Rhinolophus ferrumequinum: one gene and its partners. The protein of the gene in region 3 interacts with the protein of the main gene of each other region in a biochemical or structural test. Links are inferred from orthologs where the notes say so. Each region holds a gene or a part of one and is shown on either strand. Other genes may lie near its edges.

Region 1 (6,957 bases), on a different chromosome or scaffold from region 3:
AGGGGGCAACGGGCATGGCTGAAGCCACGGAAGCAGCAGATGTCTGGGGTACAAGTGACCGAGGGCACCAGAGGTCCAGCGCCTGGGTCCCAGCCGCCTGGGCTAACACTGCCTGAAACCGGGGAACACAGCTGCAGCCGAGCTGCAGGATAAAGCGAGTCGCATAACTGCTGACTCGACTGAGGCTCACACACCCGAGGGTCACCTGTGCTGTCACTTAGCAGTGTCGTCCTGTACACACACACACACCAACGTGGTTAAGGGGGAGCTCTCACGGTGGGTTTTATCCCCCCACCATTAAAACAAAAACACCAAGTTGCCGAAGGTCACCTTGCTGTCCCCCTCACCTGGCCCTGGCGTCTCTTGGGAGCCTGAAAGGGTGTGCTGCCCCCCTCCCCTCCCCCCACTGCTGCCAGAGGACACTGCCGCGTGGGGATCTTGTGGGGATGGGCATTTTAGGGTCCCGATCCCGGGAGCCTTGCCGTGCAGCCACGCCCGGCTGTAGCAAAGGGCTCTGAACCATCTTTCTTCTGTAAGCGTCTCAGGAGTTGAGGGAGGTCAAATGGCAAAACGCAGGTCTGTCCTCGCCACTGCTCCAGTGGGGGGAGCTGGGAGGGTGGCTGGTCCTTCCACCCTGGCGCTGGTGCGCAGACGAGGACGCCGCCGAGGGGGCTGAGTGGTGGCTGGACTGGAGGAACCTCATCACCAAGCCCAGAAAAAGCAAATGGGTGGGGGTGGGGAGCACCAAAAGCCAACTTCACAGAAAACGTCCTGCAGGCACCCACGGTGGCAGCCCACTCCTTGACACGGGACGGCGCCCCGCGGCTCCCTCTGCTCCCTGGTGACCCTCTCCCTCCTAAAGATGGCTGGGGCCCTGGAGCAGGGCAGCCTTTCCACTCGGCCGTCCACCCTGGCACAGCAGAGGCTTGATTAAACTTAAATTCGGATCTGTGTGTGGGCTGACCGAATGCTGTCCCAAAGCCAGGAGCTTTATCTCCCACGCCCACAAAAGAGGGTTTCGCCCCAACCTCCATTTCTGTCAGTGGGGACCACTTCGTGGTGATAAACCTTGAAGTCAGGGGCTATGGACGATGTTCAGGCATGCTCACGAGAGCGAGCCCCGCGTCCACCCGCGCGTCCATCCTGTTGCCACAGCCCACTCCCCAAGTCCGTCCACGCACTGCCCACCTCCAGCTCCCACAACCTGCCTGAGTGCATGAAAGCAGGCTGATGCAAACGGGGTGGGAGAGCGGCTCAGAGGCAGAGACTGGGAGGGAGCCACCCCGCGGCACCCCTGCTGCGGGGCTGTGGGGCCGGGGGCTGCGGCGCCAGCCACCCGCCTCCTCACCTGGTTTCTGGCACAGCCAGGCGCAGTCCTGCACTTTCATCTTCCAGGTCAGCTCCTGCAGCGAGAGCTTGGCATGCTTCCCCAGAGAAACGAACTTCTTCACGTTCTTCAAGAAGCGGCGCTCATTGTGCCTGGAGCCCCAGAGGCCTGCGGGCACCAGGCGGCGAAGACAGGCCCGCAGGAGCCCATACACGTGCCAGGGGCTGCTGTGTTGGCGGAGCAGCTGGACCAGGCGCCGCGGGCCCGCGTCCTCCTCCGGGCCGCAGGCGCCCGCTCCACTGTGCCCCTGGTCTCCGGACCCCACTGGGGTGTCCCGCAGCGGGCAGTGTGTCCTGAGGAGCCTGCCGTAGGGGCACCGCGCATGGTTGGCAAGCAGCTCCCGGAACAGGGGCCTCATCTGCCAGTAGCGCGCGGGCAGGCGGCGCGTCCTGCGGGGAGCCCCCGGCTGCAGGGGCCTGGAGTCCAGAAAGATGGTCTCCACAAGCCTCCGGGCCCCCGCCAGGCTGGGCCGCAGGGAGCTGAGCAGGAAGGAGGAGCGCAGGCGTTCTCCACCACCGGAGCAGTAGAGGAAATGCTTGGTATCAGCGAACGCTCGGGGACCGAGCGCTTCCTGGGGACGCGACCGCCCAGAGGATGGGCAGCTGGCTTCTCGCTCGCCTCGGAGCAGTGGGAAGGGCCGACCGGTCCTGCGCGGCTCGCTCTCCCCAGACGCGGCTTCCACGGCGACTCTGGTAGGTGTCACGGCGCTGGGCTCTCGGTCACCCGGCCCACGCGCCCTGCCCAGGTGGGCCCGGGGCGCCTGCCGGTCAGGTCCTCGGTCTGGTTTCGGCTGCGGGACGGGGACCGGGCCGCGCCTGGGCCTCTTGGCCTGAGGCGGACTTTCCTCCACGCTGGCCGGACGCCGCCTAGCGCCGGGGGCTTGCAGGCCCCGTTGTCTCCCGGCCTCCCTGCCGCCGCCGGTCCAGGCCCGGCGTATTGGTTCGAGGCCCGCGTGTCGCGTGGTGAACAGGTCGTAGAGCGGCGGCCCGCACACCTGGTAGGCGCAGCTCGGGGCCACCAGCACGTAGAGCGCGCAGCGTGCCAGCAGGTGGGTGAGCACGTCGTCGCCCAGGCGGCGCAGCAGCAGCCCCCACGCGCCGCTGCCGCGCAGCGTGTCGGTCACTGTGTTGGGCACGTAGCTGTGCACGTTGGTCGTGAAGGCCACGGGCGGGCCGCCGCGGAACCCGTCCAGCAGCGCGAAGCCGAAGGCCAGCACGTTCCTCGCGCCGCGCTCGCAGAGCCTCTGCACGACCCTGGCCACCAGCTCCTTCAGGGAGGACACCTGGGGGGGGGTCCCAAGTCACTGGGGACGGAAGTGTCCGGGATCCGGTGCGCAGCCGCGTCCGGCCTCGTTCCCCACGGCCCGACCCCCACCCCGCAGGCCCCACCGGTACCCGGGCAGCCCACCTGGCGGAAGTCCGGGGCGGCTGGAGGCGGCTGCGCGTCCCAGGGCACGCACACTAGGCACTGGGCCACCAACGAGCGGAAGGCGGCCGGGTCCCCGCGCTGCACGAGACGCCGGCCCTCGGGCCCCAGGCGCCTCGCGAACGTGGCCAGCGGCAGCACCTCGCGGTAGCGGCTCCGCAGCAGGGCGCGCACGGCGCGGCACCGGGGCGCTCGCGGCATCGCGGGAGGCGGGCGGGGCTCCCACGTGCGGGGACCACAGGCGCCAGAGCCACGCGGCGAGTAGGGGTCCCGGCGGAGGGCGGTGCACGTGGAGGAAGGGGCGGGGCTGACGGGGTCCGCGGGGAGGGGCGGGGCTGGGGGAGGAAGGGGCGGGGTCGCGGGCTATAGGTGTTCAGCGCTTTACCTTCCCTCCCCACCCGGTTGGCAGGTCCCAGGTGTTGGTGCCGGATTTCAACATGGACACGGCGTGTCCTCACCGCGCAGCTGCACCGGGCAGCCTCCCCATCCGTGTGCTGAGACCCCTCCCAGGGTGCAGGGCTCGCAGCGAGGGTGGCACATTGGAGAGGCTCTGGGGGTACCCAAGGAAGGGGACCATAACCGGGGGTGGGCGGAGGGCCCGGGGGACCTGATGCACTCTTCGCCCCCTGGGGAAAGGGTCCTTCTGGTTTGTCACTTTCTCACGTGGGCCGTGACCCTGGCACAGAGGGTTGCGTTGGGGTCCAGCAGAGGGGTTTGAAAGAAGCAGGACAGTGTACAAAGGAGAGAATGGACGCCAGCACTCTGGCCAGATGGGCCTGGGGAAATGGAGGGCCCAGGCGCATCCTCATTGGACTCCTGGAGCTCCTGGAGCTCGTCCCGGTGCTGGGAGCAGGAAATGGGTAGTGGTCGCCGGCAGGGCAGTCGCCCCGCGGGACTAGGTCTGCTTGACCCAGGGCTGTAGTTTTTCTTTGGCTTTTTAGATTTCTTTTGTCCCGACCATAAACAAAAAATTTCACATCAATTTCCTGTTCGTCAGGATCTGGTCAGTCTGCCAGTGGGAGGGGAGAAAGTGGAGCCACAGGTGCCCTGCCTGGCACCATCTGCAGGCTCCTCACACTTGTCATGGTCCCTTCATGCCCTCCATGCCGTGGGTGGAAGGTGAGAGTGGACACATCGGGGACCTGCCTACAACCTGGCAGCCCCAGAAAGAACCAGGAGCCCCTGGCTACCCACCACGCAGCAGAGACCCTCCCCAGGCTCAGGGGGACAGTTGTGATAGCGGCTGGTCGTGTGAACAAGACAGTTCAGAGGAGTCACCCTAATGAGATTCCACCCAAATGCAGATGCTGTGGGATGTTCAACTTTGAATCGCTGAGAGGGGAAACTTCCAGGTCTGGGGAGGCTCGTGGAGGAGACGTCTGAGTTTGGCAAACACTGCACGGCTGAACAAATGTTAACCTTTCACAGTGGTGAGAAACGTGGTCAGGAAATTGCTTCTATTCATGGCCGTAGCATTTAAACAGGCCTCCGCTTTCCCTCCCTTGACAGACAGATGATGATTCAGGTTCGTGGAGCTCTGTGGGGTCTGCCCACCTGGTAATCCTGGGGATGATGGGCTCTGCTCTTCCAGAGCCCACAGAGCGAGAGCACTTCCTCGCTTCTGCCGCTAGAGGATTTGGGGCTGCTTCAGGATATTTGTTCTTTTTGAAGTTGCTCTGGTTCACCCGGAGAAACCAGCCTGAAAACATAATCAAAAAAAGAAGAGAATAAACTGAGACAGAAACTGACAGGCGTGTGGTTAGTACCATGTGCATGTGAGAAAAGCCCCCAGTTTGATGGAACTCGCTCCCATCCAGAGTGCCCTTCCGTATTGCAGGGTCTGCGGGTTTGTCTCTGAGAAGTGAGGGACGGCCTTACGTCCTTGCATCATATGACGTGAAAAAAGCTGCGTTGTTGTTTAAGATCAAATACAACCAGCAAGCCCCTTCGAAATCTTCCGCAAGGCAGTGTACGGGCTTCACACACCCTGAAGTTTCTAAACAGCGGATTCTGTGCCAGGAGCCAAAGCACGGTGGGGGCCTGTGTGTGGGGACAGGCTGCAGTGAGGTGCTCTGGTACTGTGTATGCCCATCGCGTGGCATGCGTCCTGCCCGGTGCGTGCCCCACCCATAGGGCTCAAGTCTCAGATCTGCAGCTGGATGAGGCCTGAAGATGCCGGATTGCAGAATCAGGGCAAAGAGGGTCTGGATGGCAGCCAAACGAGCACAGTGCCAGGTCTCTGAGTGGTGACCACAAGCAGTATAAACACCAGACCTGGTCAACAGACCCTTTGCCTGCAGAAGGGCAGGGCCGCGTGACCCCAGACCCAGTGAGGGCGTGAGGACCGGACACTGGAAGAGCCTCACTCAGCGCCGCCTCCTCCGAGCTTTTGTCACATCTCGTCCCGACCCTGACCTGCTGCCTCCCTCTCACAGGGACCACAGGCTGATCCATGGCACCTCCCCACCTCAGAGCCCACCATATTCTGCCATCCGCAAAGTCCCTTGTGCTGGGGGACGTCACGCTGGAAGGCTACAGGACCAGGATGTGGCATCTGGGGAGCGTTATGGAGCCCAGGACACCCACGTGGCAGAGAGAACGGGCTCTGTCTCCTGTCCTCTCCGGCACCCATGCTTAGTCTCCCATAACTCAGGCAACAGTAAACCAGAGCCAGAACGCTGGCCCTGGTACAGTGTGTGGCCAATTTGCTGTCATTTGATCACCTGTGCAGACTTGTGTGTCCTCGCCTGCATTTGGCGATGTCACTAGTTCTTACCGTAGCCCCTCTGATAGGGGTGAAAACCAGATGAACTGTCACATGGTCCTGAGGCCTGACAACCTGGGGACGGGTGGGGGGCCCAGGAGGGGCCCAGATGGCACTCCAGGCACAAGGCAGGTTCCAGCTCAAAGAATGTTGGCAATGTAGAAAGACAGACAATGTCCTTGGAACTAGATTTGGAGTGAAGAGGGGACAGTGGTGGGCGGGTTTAGAAAGTGTTTTCTGGAGAGGCAAAGTGGTAGAGGAGCCAGGGGACCTGCTGGGAGGGGAACAGAGCAGAGGACAGCAGTGTGGCCACACAGCCAGGGTCCTGGGTCGCGGTGGGGGCTGCACTACAGGACCTCTGCACCCCTCAGTCCTGTCTCCCAGGTCCCCTGAATCCAAGAACCGATTGTGCCAGCTGCTGTTGTTACCCCAACCGAGGCTCACAGCAACCCCCATCTCGTCTTCAGTCGGGGGTCTGGACGGGTCTCTGTGAGCACAATAAAACAGTAATAAAACAGTGGTTGCTGTGCCTGTTTTCTCGTGATTTGTCACGCAGAAGAGGTTACTGGAACGTTTAATTCTTAGTGGTAAAGGTAAATAACATGACTAATGGTCTTCCTTTATAGAGCGCTTTACAATTCACACATCATTTTTGGCACATCAGCTCATATCACCGTGCAGCCCTTGGAAGCAGGTGGACAACTGTCAGCATCCTTTCTTACAGGTTCAGAGGTGCAGACTTCCTGAAAATCCCTGACAATTTGGGGCAGAGCCGGAACACAAACCCAGGGTCTCCATGTCCACGGCCAGCGTTCCCTCAGTGCAGCCGGCTAGCATCAGGGAAATGGCCCAGCTAGGACAGGGTGGGACTTCAGGGGACATGGCCCCACCGGTTCACGAGGGTCCATGGGAGCTCGGACGCCTTGGCTGTGCCCAGCTTGGCAGCTCCCGGGAACACTGTCCTGTTTTCCCACTTCCTTAGCCAGAGGAGACCTTTGATCTCCTGGCCTTAGCCGCCTCACCGCGTTAATCCTTCCTGACCCACTTCCATCTCCTCGTGTACTTTCTCTTGCACCTTAAACCGCCTTAAGAAAACCAGTAAGAAGTGCTCAGGGCTCAGAACCGCTGAGGGCTGGTGTTGACTCCTGCACCTTGGCAAACAGTCAGCTCCCACGGTACACCTTTGGGTTTCCGCACTGTTGAAAGGCATTGGATGGAATTTAAGAAAGCAGTAAGATAAAATTAGCCGCTGGGATGCTGGAAGGTGGAATTTACTTACAGATTTAAGCCCTTAAATAGCTCCCTTTGTGGAGTCCGCGTCCAGGCCCAGCCATGTGCTGGTTCCTGGCAAGCCAAGAGCAGGACCCGGTGCCTCTGGCAG
Region 2 (7,526 bases), on a different chromosome or scaffold from region 3:
GGCAAGGGGAGCACCAGGCCCTGCAGCGCACCTCGGTCTGCTGCTGGGGTAACCTGGGATGATCCCTCAGCATTCTGGGTCAACCCACAGGGCCTGCTGGGTCCCGCCCAGCTGGCTTGGTGAGAACAAACTCAGGGGGCTTGCCGGCCCACCCGCTCTGAGCCTGGGAGGAGTGTGGTGCCCGCCTGTCAGAGGAGCTCTGACAACAGTCTATGGCCAGCTCTGAGTGCCCAGGTATGGCCAGGCCAATTCCTCGAGTGGTCTCATGGGGAGCTGGTGACCTAACCTCAGGAACTGTTCTGCCCCAGACCCTCAAGTGACCCTCTGACTACTGGCACTCACGGGCCACCTGGCATGGGCCCTGGCCTTGGCGACCTCCAGCTGCTAGGTTTCTGGGATTTCCCCCAGCCTCCACACAACCCCATTAGGGTTGTTCCTGCTTCCAAAGAGGAGAGAACTGCACCGGCCAGTGTGGGAGCGGGGTGAGGCCAGGCAGACATCAGGCGCCAACACTGAAGCAGGGCCTCCAAGTACAGGTGGACTAAACGAGAAGTGCTCCTTACTTACACAGCCCGGAGCCCCAGACTAGAAGGGCTGATTCACAGAACACCTGGGTGGGCTTGCAGAGGAGGGGGACAGCACAGACTGCAGGTTGGGAGAGCTGTGGCCCATCCTGGGCCACGTTTGAGGTCACCAAACACCCTCCTAGGGCGCCAGCGGCAGTGTCCTGCAGGATCTGTTTGGGGAGCAGCTGCGAATCTAAAAGCCCCACACAGTGTGCGTCTGTAATTGCACCAGGATTTGGGGCAGCGACCTGTTGGTCTGTCCCTCATGCTGGGCAGAGGACACACAATGCTGTCCGCACCTGGCCCCACAGGCCAGTTTCTGCAGCTGGAAGCGCCCCTCCACCGCTGGTTACTCAACCTGGAGAGTCAGCCTCTAACTTTCCCTCGTCCTCTGGGGCAAAGGCAGATGGTTTCTCCTAACAGAGTGGTGAGAAAACTTCCAGCACTAAGGGGAAAGCACTGTGAGCATGGACGTCGGAGCCTCCCACAGACTCAGAGCCAGACTCTGGGCCGTGAGTCTGCCCAAGACCCAGGGTGGACCCCTGACAGAGGCCGCAAGGCCTGTGTGGGCGTCCTTAAGGCCACAGACACAGGACCACCTCCTTCTCTGGCCCAGTAGCTCCACAGCCCCTGTGCAGCCCAGAAAAGGGCTTCCTTCTGCTCTTGAGCTAGAGCTCCCCAGTGTCCTGCACCCAGCACACCCTGCCCGACTTGCCAACAAACCAGGTAGGAGTGACACTCAGTATCAGCCGCTCACCCCTGTGGAGAGCTGGCCAACAGGCCTCACGGGCGGTGTGGCCACTGCGAGGGGCAGCTGTCACAGGCCTGATCGTATCTGACTTTCCTGTTCCAAACAAAGGCTTTGCCCAGAACACGGCTGCAGGTCCTGGAGAATATGCTGGCAGTTCTACACATACACACCTCACAATCTTTGAGATCAAGGGGCAGGACGGATCATCCTAGCAGGATTAAGCTTGGAATATCCCAGAGGATCTCTGACGCCCCTCCCCAAGCTGGGTTAAGAGTGTTCCCTGAGAATTAAGGGGAAGGAAAAAGAGAATGGCAGGATATAAGAAATGGAGAGTGGCTTGTTTTGGTCAGGAAAGTTTGAGGTCTCAAACAAGGGGATGGTGGTCACGTGACAGCCCATGAGAAAGCAGCCTGCCCTTCTTTGGGACTCGACTGGCCATTAAATAAATACGCACCGGAGGATGGAGAACACACACAAAGCTGTCACTGTGACCAACAAAAAAGTATCTCCAACAGGAACGCTGCATGACTTCCAGTCTCTTTACTCCGAACCACTCTACAGGCAGGGCAGAGCTTCAGCAAACAGCCCAAGAATGAGAAACTGGCCTCCAGCTAAGGGCTAGGTTCCATCCAGACTTTTCCTCATTCCTAATGACTTAACAGTATGGGAAGGACAGCCATAGAAGTCTGAGAAACCCCGCCCTACTTGCTGGGCACACACGTTTTGGCCCTCAGTAGGTCAAGCATGTGTGGAGGTGACCAAAGGCTTTGTACCACCAGGACCGCCTTTCCCATGGACTATGGCTCTGGCCTTGCCCCGACCCCACGTCACAGCAGGATGTAAACAGCACTCTCATCTCCAAGTCCAGACACAGTCTCTGATTTACTTCTACAAACCAGAGCTGTCCAGTCTCGCAGTCAGACTATGTAAACAAGCCTGCTGCCAAGCAACTGGACAGAGACGTGAATAAAGACGCCCTGTGAGGAATGTAAAACAAAGCAGCTCTCGGGAACCCCAGCTCTGGCATCTGGACACGGGTTCGAGATCAACCTGAACTTTAGGACGTTTTACTTTCTGCTTTCTCCTTCTGCACTCGAGCAACGCCCTCCGGCTCATGCGCCCAGTCCTGATATTTTCGGAGGAGCTGCCTACCACGCCACCCTGGTAACTACCTGAGAAGATATAGAAAGGCACCTGGACACGACGTTCGCTAACGAAACCGTGTGCTGTTCAGAGGACAGACACACCTCCGCAGTTGTTCCACAATTAGCAAAAGCCCAAAGATGGAGAGGCCCTTTCTCTCCACCCCAGGGAAACTTGGCGCGGGCAGGAGCCGGCGAGAAGCGGGCCACGGACGCTTCTCCTCCGGCTGGGCTCCCCGCCCCTACTCGGGCAGGCGAGGTTGGGAGCCGGCCCAGCCCCCGCCCGGCGACGCGCCCCACCCCTCACCGGGCTCCAGCAGATAAGCGCGTCGGTGTCCGGGTCGCTCACGAGGGTCCACAGCTTGGTCAGGAAGGCCGGGACGTTGCTGGGCCCCGCCGCACCGGGGCCCACGGGTAGATCCATAACGGGCAAGGCAGGGAGAGGTGGAAGTACCGACCGCGAAAAGACGCCGAAGGCCGGGCTAGCGCCGCCGCAGGGTCTGCAGCCCGGGCCGCGCTGCCGCCGCCCGCTGCGCACACACAACTCCGGGGCCTAGCATGGCCGCCGCCATCTTGCGACGCGCGCGCTCCCGCCGGCGCCGCCCGCCCGCGTCCCCAGTACGCGCGCACGCCGGCCCCGCCCTGGCTTTCGGGCCCCGGCCCCGCCCCGGCCTCCGTGCGCCTGCGCGTGTCTGCCCTGCCCTGCCTCACCAATCAGGCCTCGCGGGGCTGGCCGGCCGCGCCCTCTGACCCCGCGGGCCCCGCCCTCCAGCCCACGCGCCAGGTCGCTGCCGGAAGTGGCGGCGCAGGTCGGAACCCGCGGGGAAGCATGGCGGGCGCGCGGGGCGCTGCGCGCGAGGCGGCGGCGGGATCGCGGTCGGAGAAGCGGCCTCCGGAGCCGGAGCCACAGCCGGAGGAGGTGACAGCGGGCTGCGCGGGACGGTAGAGGGAGTGGGGCGGCGCGATCTGGGGCCGCGCGGCGCGGGTCACACGTGGTGGCTGAGGGCGTGAGGCCGACCCAGCGTGCAGCGGGCCTGGGGACGCGAGGAAGAACGGGCGCCTGCCCTGTGCTGGAGGTGGCCCTGAGGGGGCCTACGCGGAAAGCACCCCCTGCGCAGAGGGCGGCTGGAATGGGCGTGGGGCGGATCTGTGCGGTGGACTAACTGTCTGAGCGAGGGAGAAATAGGAAGGGGAGCTGGTACCCTGTGCAGCAGCCCCTCAAACCCTTTGATTTATGCATTCTCCCATGAGAAAGACTAGCTTATACTCGCAGTAAACACATACATGTTTATACACCACTTACATGTTAGCTACGTTGTGAAAATAAAAGAGGATTCGAGAATGAGGACGCGTGACTAGAACGCAGTGCCGGCGGCATCTGACGTAGTTTTAGCTGGACCCATGGCTGCTAATGCTGTCTGGCTGAACCCCCAGCTCCGTTGTTGGGGGTGTCACCAAATCTGTGTTGTAGGAGGCGTGTACAGGGGACCGTCTCAGCTGACTCCATTTAGCTGGGTGATCAAGCTGCCCTTCACTTTGTGACATGTCCTCCTGCTGCACCCGGCCCCAGCAGGTGGCTCTGGGCTGCTCGCGCCCCTTGGCTCTGTACTCAGCAGGAGCAGTTCCCGCTTGGTGCCAAACCATTGACGCTGTTTTCACTTGCTGCTGTAATTGCGTAGCTAAGTAAATGTTAGAGATAAGCAGCTGAGTGCCTGTGTATCAGAGTCACTTCTGTGAAAACTAAGTCGAGTGCTACAGAACGACTGTTCTGTGCAGGCTGTCCAATTAGGTGAGACTTGCAAGTATTTAAAAACAGTAAAACCAAGGACTCTGCAGTCCTGTCCTTCCGAAAAGTCTGTGAGTTCTTGTTCCGCTTTTAAAGGGAACGACAGACCCGCTCACTGTGTTTCGTGTCCTGTAGAATTAGGGATGAGATGTTGTCTACTCAGGAAAAGCTCTGGTCCTACCCAGGAGGGGCAAATGGGTGGTACCTGTTTTTAAGTCAGGCTTGTCTCATTTTTATCACCCTTCACCCAAGCACTACATCCACTGTCGGTCTCAACCTGGTTGAATACGAAGGCTTCTACTTCCGGTGGCAAAAGCCCCTCAGGCGTTCTGGTCCTCTGCTGGCACCAGCCTCCGCCTGGTGCCCTCAAAGCTCTGGGGCTTTGGATGCCAGGGTGGGCCGTGGATGGTAGAGAGCTGGTGTTGGTGATGCGATGGGCACTGGGCTCTGAGAAGGGGACATTGTTCTTGACAGTCCTTCCCGTGTGAGATTCTTGGAGTTAAATGTCCCTTCCAAGGGCAGGAGCCCACGCTGATGGCAGAGGTGGACAGTGAGGAAGGCCCGAGTTGGGTGCCTGGTTTTGATGGAGGTGTAGGCTTGTGACCTGAGGGCTGTGGCCTTGGAGGCTGGCCACACAGAACTGTGGGTCATCATGCGACCTGGGGCGCAGCTGTCTGGTCTGGCTGACGTTGACACTGTTTCTTGCAGCCCTCTCTCCTTGCCCCTGCTCCCAGCCTTGGGGATAGCAGCGATTCTGGCCTCTCCGACAGTGACAGTGAGGAGAGTGTATTCTCAGGCCTGGAAGATTCCGGAACTGACAGCAGTGAGTACTCCGCTGAGGGAGAGGATGGGGCCAGCAGCAGTGGTGAGGGCCACAGCGTGACAGAAAAGACCACTGAGCAGCAGGTAGGTGAGCCAGGACCTCCTGGGGGTTCTCCCTTCTAGATGAAGGTGGCCAGGAAGGAAAGTGCCTGCCAGGTCTTGGGCTCTTTGGGGGAGCTGCCCCCACACTGCTTTCTCCAAGTTCCCTTAGGAACCCGTAGGCCTTCGTCCCTCTTCCAATGCACTGGGTCCCATTTGGGACTAGTTGGGACACTTGTTTGAAGCTGGGGTGCTCCGAGCTCTAGGGTACTGGTTTTCAACCACACTATGTGCTCCGTTCACAGGAACTCCAAAAATCGTGATGCTTGGGCCTCCCCTCAAGTGAATGATGTCCCATCTTCATGGGACTGAGCCCACATTGCTAGACTCAGTCACAGGCTGGCTTTCATAGGGGCAAAGCCTGAGGTGGGGATTCATGTGCAAGTGACTGCCTGGGGACACATGAGGGAGCCAGTGAGCAGGAAAGTCAACCTCCCCCACCCCTGCCTGACCCCCGGGGCCCTGTTCTGTGATGGGGAAGGGTGCACCCTGCTCTGGTCTGAAGCTAGAGAAACGAGAGACAAGCTTAATTAACCGAAGTAGATTTGTTGCTTAGTATGTTCTAGAAATAAGTTTATAACTTTATACTTTCACTGGCTCTGGTGTTCTGGAAGTTAAGACCTTGACTTGTACAGAAGTCTATCCCATAATGGGAACCAGGAGGCCATGTTGTTTGATCTGTTTACTTAAGAAGAGAAGATTTAAAATCAGACATAAACCTCCACCCATCTGAGCTTCCCCTGTGTGCACAGCTGGGTGCTCTGCAGTGCTTTGTGGCCCAGAAGAGAGCAGTGCCCCCCTTCTCCAGAGCGCTGGGGCCTGAGCCCCCCTGGGGGGGCAGCCCTCTGCCACAGCCAAACTGTGTCCCCTTTGGAGCCAGGACCTGGCGCTTCCCTTCCCAGAAGCTGTGCTGGGGCAGGCTTCTCCTGCAGGGGCTCCCACCAGTGAGGTGGCCCCTCCTGTTCACACCCAGGCCCTGAGGGCTGACTTGGACGCAGCCCTGCCAGTCTGGTCTCTGGCTGCTTGTGCTCTAGCTCAGGGTATAGTCAGCCCGTCACAGGACTTTCTGTTCCAAAGCTCGGTCTTCATGACTGGGTTCCAGCTTCTCCAGGCCCGGGCAGAACTGCGGAGGTGGCTCCCCCATCTCCCCTTTCCACCTGCTCCTCAAGGCCGTCTGCACCCTCCACCTGGCCGAGCTGCTCATTCCCTCCACAGCCCCGCTCACAGCCCTCTTGGGGTCGTCTGAGTCCATGTCCATCACGAAGCCCCGCTGGTGGAAACTGAGCCAGCAGGCCAGTCGCTGCTTCCTGCACATTCTGCGGGCTGCCAGGAGTGACCCCTGGGACAGCCCGGTCATGCACAATATTGGTGGCCCCTGGTCAGGCCTGTCCCTCTTGTCCTGGAGCCAGCCGAGGGCTGCTTGCTGGCGTGGAACCTTCCGGCCACAGAGGGGGAGGACAGGCCCTCTGGGGTTTCTGCTGGCCCACCTTTACCTGCCACGCTGGTGGGCTGTCACATGTCACACCATGGAACTTCTGCCCAGACCTTCTTGCCACTGGGGGTGGGTCCTGAACACATGCTCCCCTTCCGTCGAACAGCTTCTTACCACCATGAGCTCTGCGAGCCTGTGCCAGTAGCGACCCACTCACTTCTGTGTGTCTGCCACATGCCCAGCTCGGACAGAAAGCCCCCGGGGTTCTGTGCCACATGGCCACGGCCACCACGTGGTCCTGCAGATACTCAGTGGTCTAACGTGAGCTACTTTGCAAGCAAAAGAGACCCTGGCCTGGGGCCACCAGAGAGTGAGCTGACTTCTGGGATGAGAGCACGAAACCCGAGACATTTCTCCGGCTACTGTCTGACTCTTAGCAGGCTGCTCATGCTTGCAGGTCTCTGCTGACTCGTGCTGTGTGCCCCCAACGGTCACTTAGATCGTTGCTGCTTTCTCAACACTCCGTTGGCCAGACCTTCCTACCAAGGCTGGGTGGGCGGGTCCCCCTTGAGCACTCGCCTTCGTGCGTCTGAAGAGCACTTTGTCCGGCTGTCAGGCTGCAGGCTGGTGTCAGGCCAACGACTGGTCCTGAGGCGTGAGTGAGCAGGGAGAAGGCCTATTGGGTGCGATCCTCAGGGCTGTCCCCGTGTAGCAGATGTCCTGCGACCAGGGGCTGAGGTCCCCACAGGTGGGATCTAGTTGGTTTGCTTCACTGTCTGGTGGTTCTGTATCTCGTAGGTCATGTTCAGGGACCCCCACTCCATAAATCTATGGAGTCCAGGTGTTTGACATGGTGGCCCAGACAGACCATGGCTATCCTACTGAAAGCCTTCCATGGGTCAGGGCCTCTCACAGCAGGGGGCCATTG
Region 3 (7,897 bases):
AAATTAATATAAGACCGGGTCTTATTTTACTTATATTAATTTTTGCTCCAAAAGACATATTAGAGTTGATTGTCTGGCTAGGTCTTATTTTTGGGGAAACACAGTAGAAAACTCCCTCATAAAACTGGACTGTTCTCATCTGTTATAAACTTTTTAAAAAATTGCTCATGTCAATTTATAAAGATCTTTTTTGCTATTAGTGACTGTGTACACATTTAAATTCAGTCCTCAGAAAAATATCAGAGAGAAGGAGCATGCTACAATGATAATAGATAAGGAGTTTCTGAATTTAACAAAAAATTGGCCTGGGAATTTCTTTTCTCTTAGGAGACTGTTAGGATTAAACTTGTGAAATGGTATCTAATACTTGTCAAGTATTGTCTAATTTCTGCCAATTTGGATTGCAGAGTTCTCTCCCCAAAGCCCTGACACTATAGCTATACGAGGTATGACAAGTTTGCCAACTTGCCACCGTGCGCTTACATTGGCAGCGCTGTACAAACAGCTCGGGAAGGTTTCATAACCTTGGTGTATCAGTGTCTCACAGCTGTGTTCATGTGGACGTGTGGCGGTGTCTTGCTGAGTGGCGTTCATTATTGTTCTGTGTTTTTGTGCACCGTCACAAGAATGTCTGAGCTTGAATTAGAGCAACCAACAAACATTTTTTGTTTTACAGGACTTTATTGGGGAACAGTGTGTACTTCCAGGACTTTTTCTAAGTCAAGTTGTTGTTCTTTCAATCTTATTTGTGGAGGGTACAGCTCAGCTCCAGGTCCAGTTGCCATTGTTAGTTGCAGGGGGTCCGCCCCCAGTTGAACCAGCAACCTTGTGGTTGAGAGGACACGCTCCAACCAACTGAGCCATCTGGGAGCTCAGCGGCAGCTCAGCTCAAGGTGCCATGTTCAATCTTAGTTGCAGGGGGCGCTGCCCACCATCCCTTGTGGGAGTCGAGGAATTGAACTGGCAACCTTGTGATTGAGAGCCCACTGGCCCATGTGGGAATTTAACCAGCAGCCTTTGGCGTTAAGAGAATGGAGCTCCAACCGCCTGAGATATTGGGCTGGCCAAGAACAAACATTAAATTCCTTGTTAAACTTGGCAAGAGTGTAAGTGAAATCAGGGACATGTCCAAGTTTATGGGGATAATTCCGTGAAGGAAACGGAGGTATACAAATGGATTAAACGTTTTTCTGAGGGGAGAGAACGCCTCATTGATGAAGAGCGGTCAGGGCAGGCAATAACTAGCAGAACTAACAAAAACATTGCAAAAATTCATCAAATTGTGCACCAAAATCACTGGCTGACTGTGAAAAACATAGCAGACCAAGTAAACATTGATAGACAAATAGTATCGGCGGCCGGTTAGCTCAGTTGGTTAGAGCGTGGTGCTCTTAACAAGGTTGCTCTTTCGATCCCCACATGGGCCACTTGTGAGCTGCGCCCTCCACAACTAGACTGAAACAACTACTTGGCTTGGAGCTGATGGGTCCTGGGAAAAACACACTTAAATAAATAAAAGTTTAAAAAGAAACAGTTAGGAAAATCTTAACTGAAAATCTTGGCATGAGAAAGGTGTGTGCTAAAATGGTCCCAAAGGAGCTCACTGATGAATAAAAGCAAAGGAGAGTTGAAGTTTGCCAAGACCTTTTGGAGAGGCAAGACGATGTTTTGGGCTGTGTTATCACTGGTGATGGAACATGGGTGTACCAATACGACCCTGAAACAAAGTGTCAACGTGCACAATGGAAGTCAGACCATTCTCTGCTACCAAAAAAGTTCTGTCAGTCCAAATGAAGAATCGAAACGATGTTGCTAACCTTTTTTGATATCAGAGGGATTATTCATTATGAATTTGTACCAACTGGACAAACAGCTAACCAAGTGTACTATTTGGAAGTGCTAAAAAAATTGCGTGAAAAAGTTAGACGAAAACAACCTGAACTTTTTGCCAACAATTCATGGTTCTGCATTATGACAATGCACCAGCTCACATGGCACTGTCTGTGAGGGAGTTTTTAGCCAGTAAACAAATAACTGTATTGGATACAGTTAACCTCCCTAACTCACCTAATCTGGCCCCCAATGACTTCTTTACCTCAAGATAAAGCAAATATTGAAAGGAAGACATTTTGATGATATTCAGGATATAGGGTAATATGACAACTCTGATGGCCATTCCGGAGAGTTCCAAAATTGCTTTGAAGGGTGGACTGGGCGCTGGCATTGGTGTATAGATTCCCAAGGGGAATACTTCGAAGGTGACTGTAGTGATATTCAGCAATGAGGTATATAGCACTTTTTCTAGGATGAGTTTGCGAACTTAAGTGTCAGACCTCATACATGTTTGAATCTAGATTTGGGGCCCTACTAGAAACAGAACTTGTTAGTGAATGTGAAAAAACAAAAACAAGAACCTGGTACAACTTGGGTCCCCACCAGCTAATGGTTGTGATAACATGCAAAGCCATGGATAAACCTGATAACTACAGTATTTGTGCAACTTCTGGGTGAGTAGCCATTTCCAGAGTTACACTAACATGAACCCACTTGAAATATGCCCAACAGGGGTATACAATATGAATTCGGAAGCAACAGGTCTGAATTTTCAAAAACTTCTTTTCTGAAAGCCAGTTTTTGGGGCCCGCCCAGTGGCTCAGGCGGTTAGAGCTCCATGCTCCTAACTCCGAAGGCTGCTGGTTCGATTCTCACATGGGCCAGTGGGCTCTCAACCACAAGGTTGCCAGTTCAATTCTTCGAGTCCCGCAAGGGATGGTGGGCAGCACCCCCTGCAACTAAAATTGAACACGGCACCTTGAGCTGAGCTGCCTTTCAGATGGCTCAGTTGGTTGGAGCGCATCCTCTCAACCACAAAGTTGCCGGTTTGACTCCCACAAGGGATGTTGGGGGTGCGCCCACTGCAACTAAGATTGAGCTGAGCTGCCGCTGAGCTCCCAGATGGCTCAGTTGGTTGGAATGTGTCCTCTCAACCACAAGGTTGCCGGTTCGACTCCCGCAAGGGATGGTGGGCTGTGCCCCCTGCAACTAGCAACGGCAACTGGACCTGGAGCTAAGCTGTGCCCTCCACAACTAAGACTGAAAGGACAACAACTTGAAGCTGAACGGCACCCTCTACAACTAAGATTGAAAGGACAACCACTTGACTTGGAAAAAAAAGTCCTGGAAGTACACACTGTTCCCCAATAAAGTCCTGTTCCCTTGCCCCAATAAAATCTTTAAAAAAAAGTTTATAAAAAAAAAAATTTAAAACATGATTCTCCCACAAATATAAAATTAACGTGAGCCAGACATTTAACTTATTGACAGAACCAGTAAGATGGTAAAGCTGGTTCCAGGAGCATTTAAGGAAGTAGGTATTTATAGGCATAAAAATAAATAGAATAAGGTAATAAGTTAAAGGAAACTGTCTTACAGAGCAACAAAACCGTAACTTTGGGGTTAGCTTTTCTGTCAGTCAGAAGTCTACAACTTAACAAGTAACTTCACAATATTTGAGCTCCAATCATGTATTGAATAGCAAAGTCAAACGCAGGTATCTCCCTCCTAGAGACTAATCATTGGGCAAACAGGTTAAACCACATCCCTGTATGAACTGAAAGGTCATCCCTCTACTCCTTGCCTATTTCCATATTTTGGGTAATTTTTATTAAGGAGGCCTGTCCTAATTGTTCCAGTCAATATCGGTATCTCCTCCTTTCGACCTCTCCTCCTTTCATTCTCCCACTACTTTTTGTACTCCCATTATCCTGATTTGTGTATTTATTTCCCCTAACAGGCAGTAGGCTCCTTAGAATCACTATTTGAGAGCTGGGATTTAACTTTCCATTTTAACAGGATTTGGGCACAGGGTCCAGTTGTTCCCAATACCTGCCTTGCACAGCATAGACACTAAATCCTTTTTTAAAAAAATTTATTCTAAGTGTATTTTTCCAGGATCCATTAGCTCCAAATTAGGTAGTTATTTCAATAGAGCTGTGGAGGGCACGCAGCTCACGGGTGGCCCATGAGGGGATCAAACGCGCATCCTTAAGAGCACTGTGCTCTAACCCACCACCCAGGACACTGCTTAATGTTTAATATGAAACCCCCACTTTCTCCAAAAACGTCTTATAGCACTTTCCATAAACCTCCTTTGTATTCTACCTAGGGATGCACTGTATTTCTTCCTTACTCCATTGTTAAACGCGGCCTTCTGGAGTAGGCATGTACTGTTTTGATTCTTGGTTATTATCCTGCATTGCCCTGCACAAAGCCGCAGTGCACTTGGAGAGATCGGTTGAAAACAGATGGGGAACACTCTTCCCCAACTGATGTGCCTGGAGACACGACTGTTCTAGTCCATTCCACAAACCTTGGCTCTCCACTTAAATAATCTTCCTGTCTCACCTACAGTACTAATCTCTCGAAGCAGGGGCAAATGCTCGCCCCCCAATGGCAAACGTTCCTCCTCAAAGGCCTCAAATTTCTGTTGCCCCTGGGCAGGGTCTCCAATCTTCAGAAAAATGGCGAAGTGGACCGAGGCCCTCGAGTCTGAAGTTAGCCCTTTTTCGCAAGTATCACCAGCGAAAGGCGCTCTTTTCAAATCTTTATGCGGTGGACGTATCCTTAGTGAGCTGATGGGGTTCCCTCCACAGTAACCAATCCCCCATTTCACTTTCCAAGCCTCCCGCCTCCGTGCGTCCCTCCACCTCAACCTTCCTCCCGCTGTCAACGCATCAGTCTCCCGGGTAGGTCGCCCAACGCGCGTGGCAAGGCAGTTAGGTGGCCAACGGTTTTCTAACGCGAGAAGGGAGCGCGGGAGGAGAGGCGGGAACAAGTCAGGCCGGAGGGCGGGGGCGAAGGGCGGGGCTTGCGCCGGGAAGGATCGCGAACGAGCTGGGAGGCCCCGCCCTTTCCGTAGATATCTCTAGAAAGCCGGGCCGGAGCCTGAAAACAAAGAGTGCGCAGGCGCGGCGGCAGGGCCCGGGCATTTTGCTGCGTCACCAGCCGCCGCCCGGCCTCACCAGCCCTCGCTCGCACGCACGCACGTTCATTCTCCGTCCTCGCGTCCCTTTTCCTACACTTTCCTCTTCTCCCCGACCGGAGGAGCCGCTCTGTCCGCGCGGTGCATTCTGGGGACCCAGGTCGAACCCTCCGCCGCCCTCGTCTGAGAGAAGCGAGAAGAGGCCGCACCGGGGAGAAAACGCCGGAGTCGGCACCGGAGAGGAGTCGATTGCCCAGCAGCTGCCACCGGAGAGGCCCGCCCACCCGTTTACCCGTCCCCCTGCCCCGTTCACGATGTGAGTGCGACACCCGCCAAGGGATGGTCGCCCCAGAGGGAGGCCGAGGCCACGCTGGGGGTTGCCGGAAAGCGCCCCCTCTCCTTCCCCGCTTTCGGCCCCTCAGTTTTCTCCCCTCCGTGGTGGCAGTCGTTCTTGCCTAGGGGTGGGAGGTCCAGTATCCTTTTTCCGGTTACCGTTGGCGGGTGGAGGACATTTTTCCTCCAGATGTCCGCTTCCCCCACCTCTAAACCGTCCTTCAGCTTCCCATGCCGGAAATCCCACTTTTTTCCCCTGGGCTGTTCGGGTCGCTCCTAACTCTCCGGAACTTAGCTGTAGGCCTTAATCTCCTGTGAGCTTTTTGCCATGCGGCGCCCTGGAGGCGTGGACCGTCTTGGATTGCTACTTCGTTTCTTGGGCGTTCTGGTTCTGCCGCTCTCAGATGCCGGTCCTGGGCCAAGTGCACCTGTGGTGGGTGCTACCAGAGGCCGGTGGTGCTCCTCGTAGAGCACCACGCGGCCCTCCACCGTGAGCGACAAGGGACTGCTAGGCAACCGGAGGGAGGCCAAATCGTCACCACAACTCATTTCTCACGGGTGCCGTGATTTCGCGAGTGGGCGGGGGGCTTTCCAGGCCGCCTCCTAGCTCCGGTCTCTCGAAGAGAGTGAAGGTTGCCTAAACTCAGTCGTGTCCCTGGCAGCGAGGAGTTATACCATAGAACAGGTAGTTCTGCACGTGTCGAGTCGAAGGATAGTTGTGGACATTTTTCAGTGTTCTGTTAAACTTTGTGCGAGGTTTCATGATCCTATCTTAATTTAAGTTTGAAATAGGTATATAACTGCCTTGTTTTAAAGAACTTAAATGTGTTTACGTGGGGGTAACTACAGATTCTTTTTTTATGGTGTAGGAAAACCTTGGTGATTGTAACCGAGGAAGAATTCTTGGCACTGCCGCTTCCGCGCTTTCACATTCTCCTCAGGAAAAGTTTTTACCTTTTCAGATGTGAGAACTGCAGGTTTTATAGGTTTGGGGTTTTTTTGTTTTTTGTTTTTTAACTGCTCTCCTTTTTAACGGAGAGCAATAGAAGGGGAACAATTTTTATTCCTATAAAAAGTAATGCACTTTCAATTTCATTTAAAATAATAACTGACGGTGAGTATATTGGGCTAGAATTTTAAATGGAAAGGATACACTCTGAGTTGATGTCGGAGAACAAGCCTCTAGAAGAACACATGTATTACTGTAAAGGGGATATATTAGCATTTTGGAAGGATTTCCCCCTCTAAAAGTGGTATCTAATAGATTTTGATCTATGTAAAATAGCTTTTGTTTTTCCCTTTGAAATCTCTTCTAAACAATGTAGCAGGATTGTCAATCTTAAAATATGAGTACAAAATGAATACTCAGAGCATTACCAACTTTTAATAGACTAATGTAGCCAAATATATCTTTTCACAAAGAAATACCATATTTAGTATGGTTTGAAATAGAAGTTTTCTAGAGATCATATAAAATAAAGTAGGTAAGACACGTTATGTAAGTGGATTAAAAGTGTAACAACCAATACCAAAAGCCTTCTATGTAGTTTATAAGAATGCTACTTCAAAATGAGTGTTTTGAAGAGGCCAGATAATTTCATCCTCTTTAAAATATTCAGTATATGTCACCTTGCAAATTCTTTAGGGGATCTTACTGAACTAATAATGACTTGAATGAATTTACAAGGTGAATATTATGAGTCAGTTGCTTAGTTGCAAAAAAACATTTAATGGGTCATCCAGTCCTAGGAAGAATCTGTCTGATAATGGTCTGATAATCATTTTGTTGATGTCTGCTATAAAAATTTTTTTAGATATGGAGAGAGACATTTATGCTGGATATATTAAGGGTTTTAGGGTCTGTTTTTTCTTACTGAATTCTCTTTAGTAGCGATTTTGTAGGTAAGTTTCTTCTAATCAAATTTTTAAAGTTTTGTCTAGTAGTTTACATAAAAGCCATCAATCTCTCACCTACCTTGGAGATGGCTAGGATTTTAGGACCTCCCTTTGCCCATTTAAGACAAGCCCAGCCAAAGCCTCTGGGGGGTGGGGCGCGGGCACTACTTGTTTTTTTTTTTAAATTAGCTCTTGTTGGTTCTAATTCTAAATTGGACCATAACAATTGGACCCATAAACAATAGATACAAAGAAAATGTTTTATTAATTTTGAGCTATTTGAAGTCATTCTTTCTGGAGTCTGGTACTTAATAAATTGTCCAGAAACATACTGTGACTATTTAACATCGGTTAAAATCTTTCTTCCTTTGCCATCACTCCACTTTATAAGATTGAGACCCCAAAATAAAATCAGTCTTTAGCCTCCAAAACAGTTTGTAATAGTGAACATGTGCTAGATAGTTAATTTCTGTAAGTTAAGGAAGAGTAACTGATGATGGCCTTTGTTAAGTGTTGATTTCCTAACCACTGTAACTTGGCAACTGGATTTACTTTTTTCTTAGTTAGACTTTAACTAGAATGCAGTAGAAACTGGAATGGACAAATCACTTGAGTGCAGACCAGTGTGTACTGGTATTGTTAATTAAGATTCTCCTGTTTAATTGTATTTTCTCAATTTTAAAATCT

What was found.
Region 1: the proteins of PTGES3 (region 3) and TERT form a complex in vitro, tested with the Homo sapiens proteins (2 studies listed by BioGRID). The link is inferred for Rhinolophus ferrumequinum from reciprocal best matches to the Homo sapiens genes PTGES3 and TERT.
Region 2: the proteins of PTGES3 (region 3) and HSF1 form a complex in vitro, tested with the Homo sapiens proteins (2 studies listed by BioGRID). The link is inferred for Rhinolophus ferrumequinum from reciprocal best matches to the Homo sapiens genes PTGES3 and HSF1.

The regions. Positions count from the first base shown.
Region 1 is NC_046290.1:739,265-746,221, forward strand, and holds the start of TERT (telomerase reverse transcriptase), read right to left. Parts: upstream 3,014-6,957; coding exon 2,795-3,013; intron 2,670-2,794; coding exon 1,349-2,669; intron 1-1,348. UniProt on the Homo sapiens protein: Telomerase is a ribonucleoprotein enzyme essential for the replication of chromosome termini in most eukaryotes. Active in progenitor and cancer cells. Inactive, or very low activity, in normal somatic cells.
Region 2 is NC_046297.1:73,036,426-73,043,951, reverse strand, and holds the start of HSF1 (heat shock factor protein 1), read right to left. Parts: upstream 3,063-7,526; 5' UTR 2,884-3,062; coding exon 2,767-2,883; intron 1-2,766. Other genes in the region: ribosome biogenesis protein BOP1, read left to right, coding at 3,289-3,378, 4,954-5,151. UniProt on the Homo sapiens protein: Functions as a stress-inducible and DNA-binding transcription factor that plays a central role in the transcriptional activation of the heat shock response (HSR), leading to the expression of a large class of molecular chaperones, heat shock proteins (HSPs), that protect cells from cellular insult damage.
Region 3 is NC_046293.1:55,858,905-55,866,801, reverse strand, and holds the start of PTGES3 (prostaglandin E synthase 3), read left to right. Parts: upstream 1-4,819; 5' UTR 4,820-5,295; coding exon 5,296-5,297; intron 5,298-7,897. UniProt on the Homo sapiens protein: Cytosolic prostaglandin synthase that catalyzes the oxidoreduction of prostaglandin endoperoxide H2 (PGH2) to prostaglandin E2 (PGE2).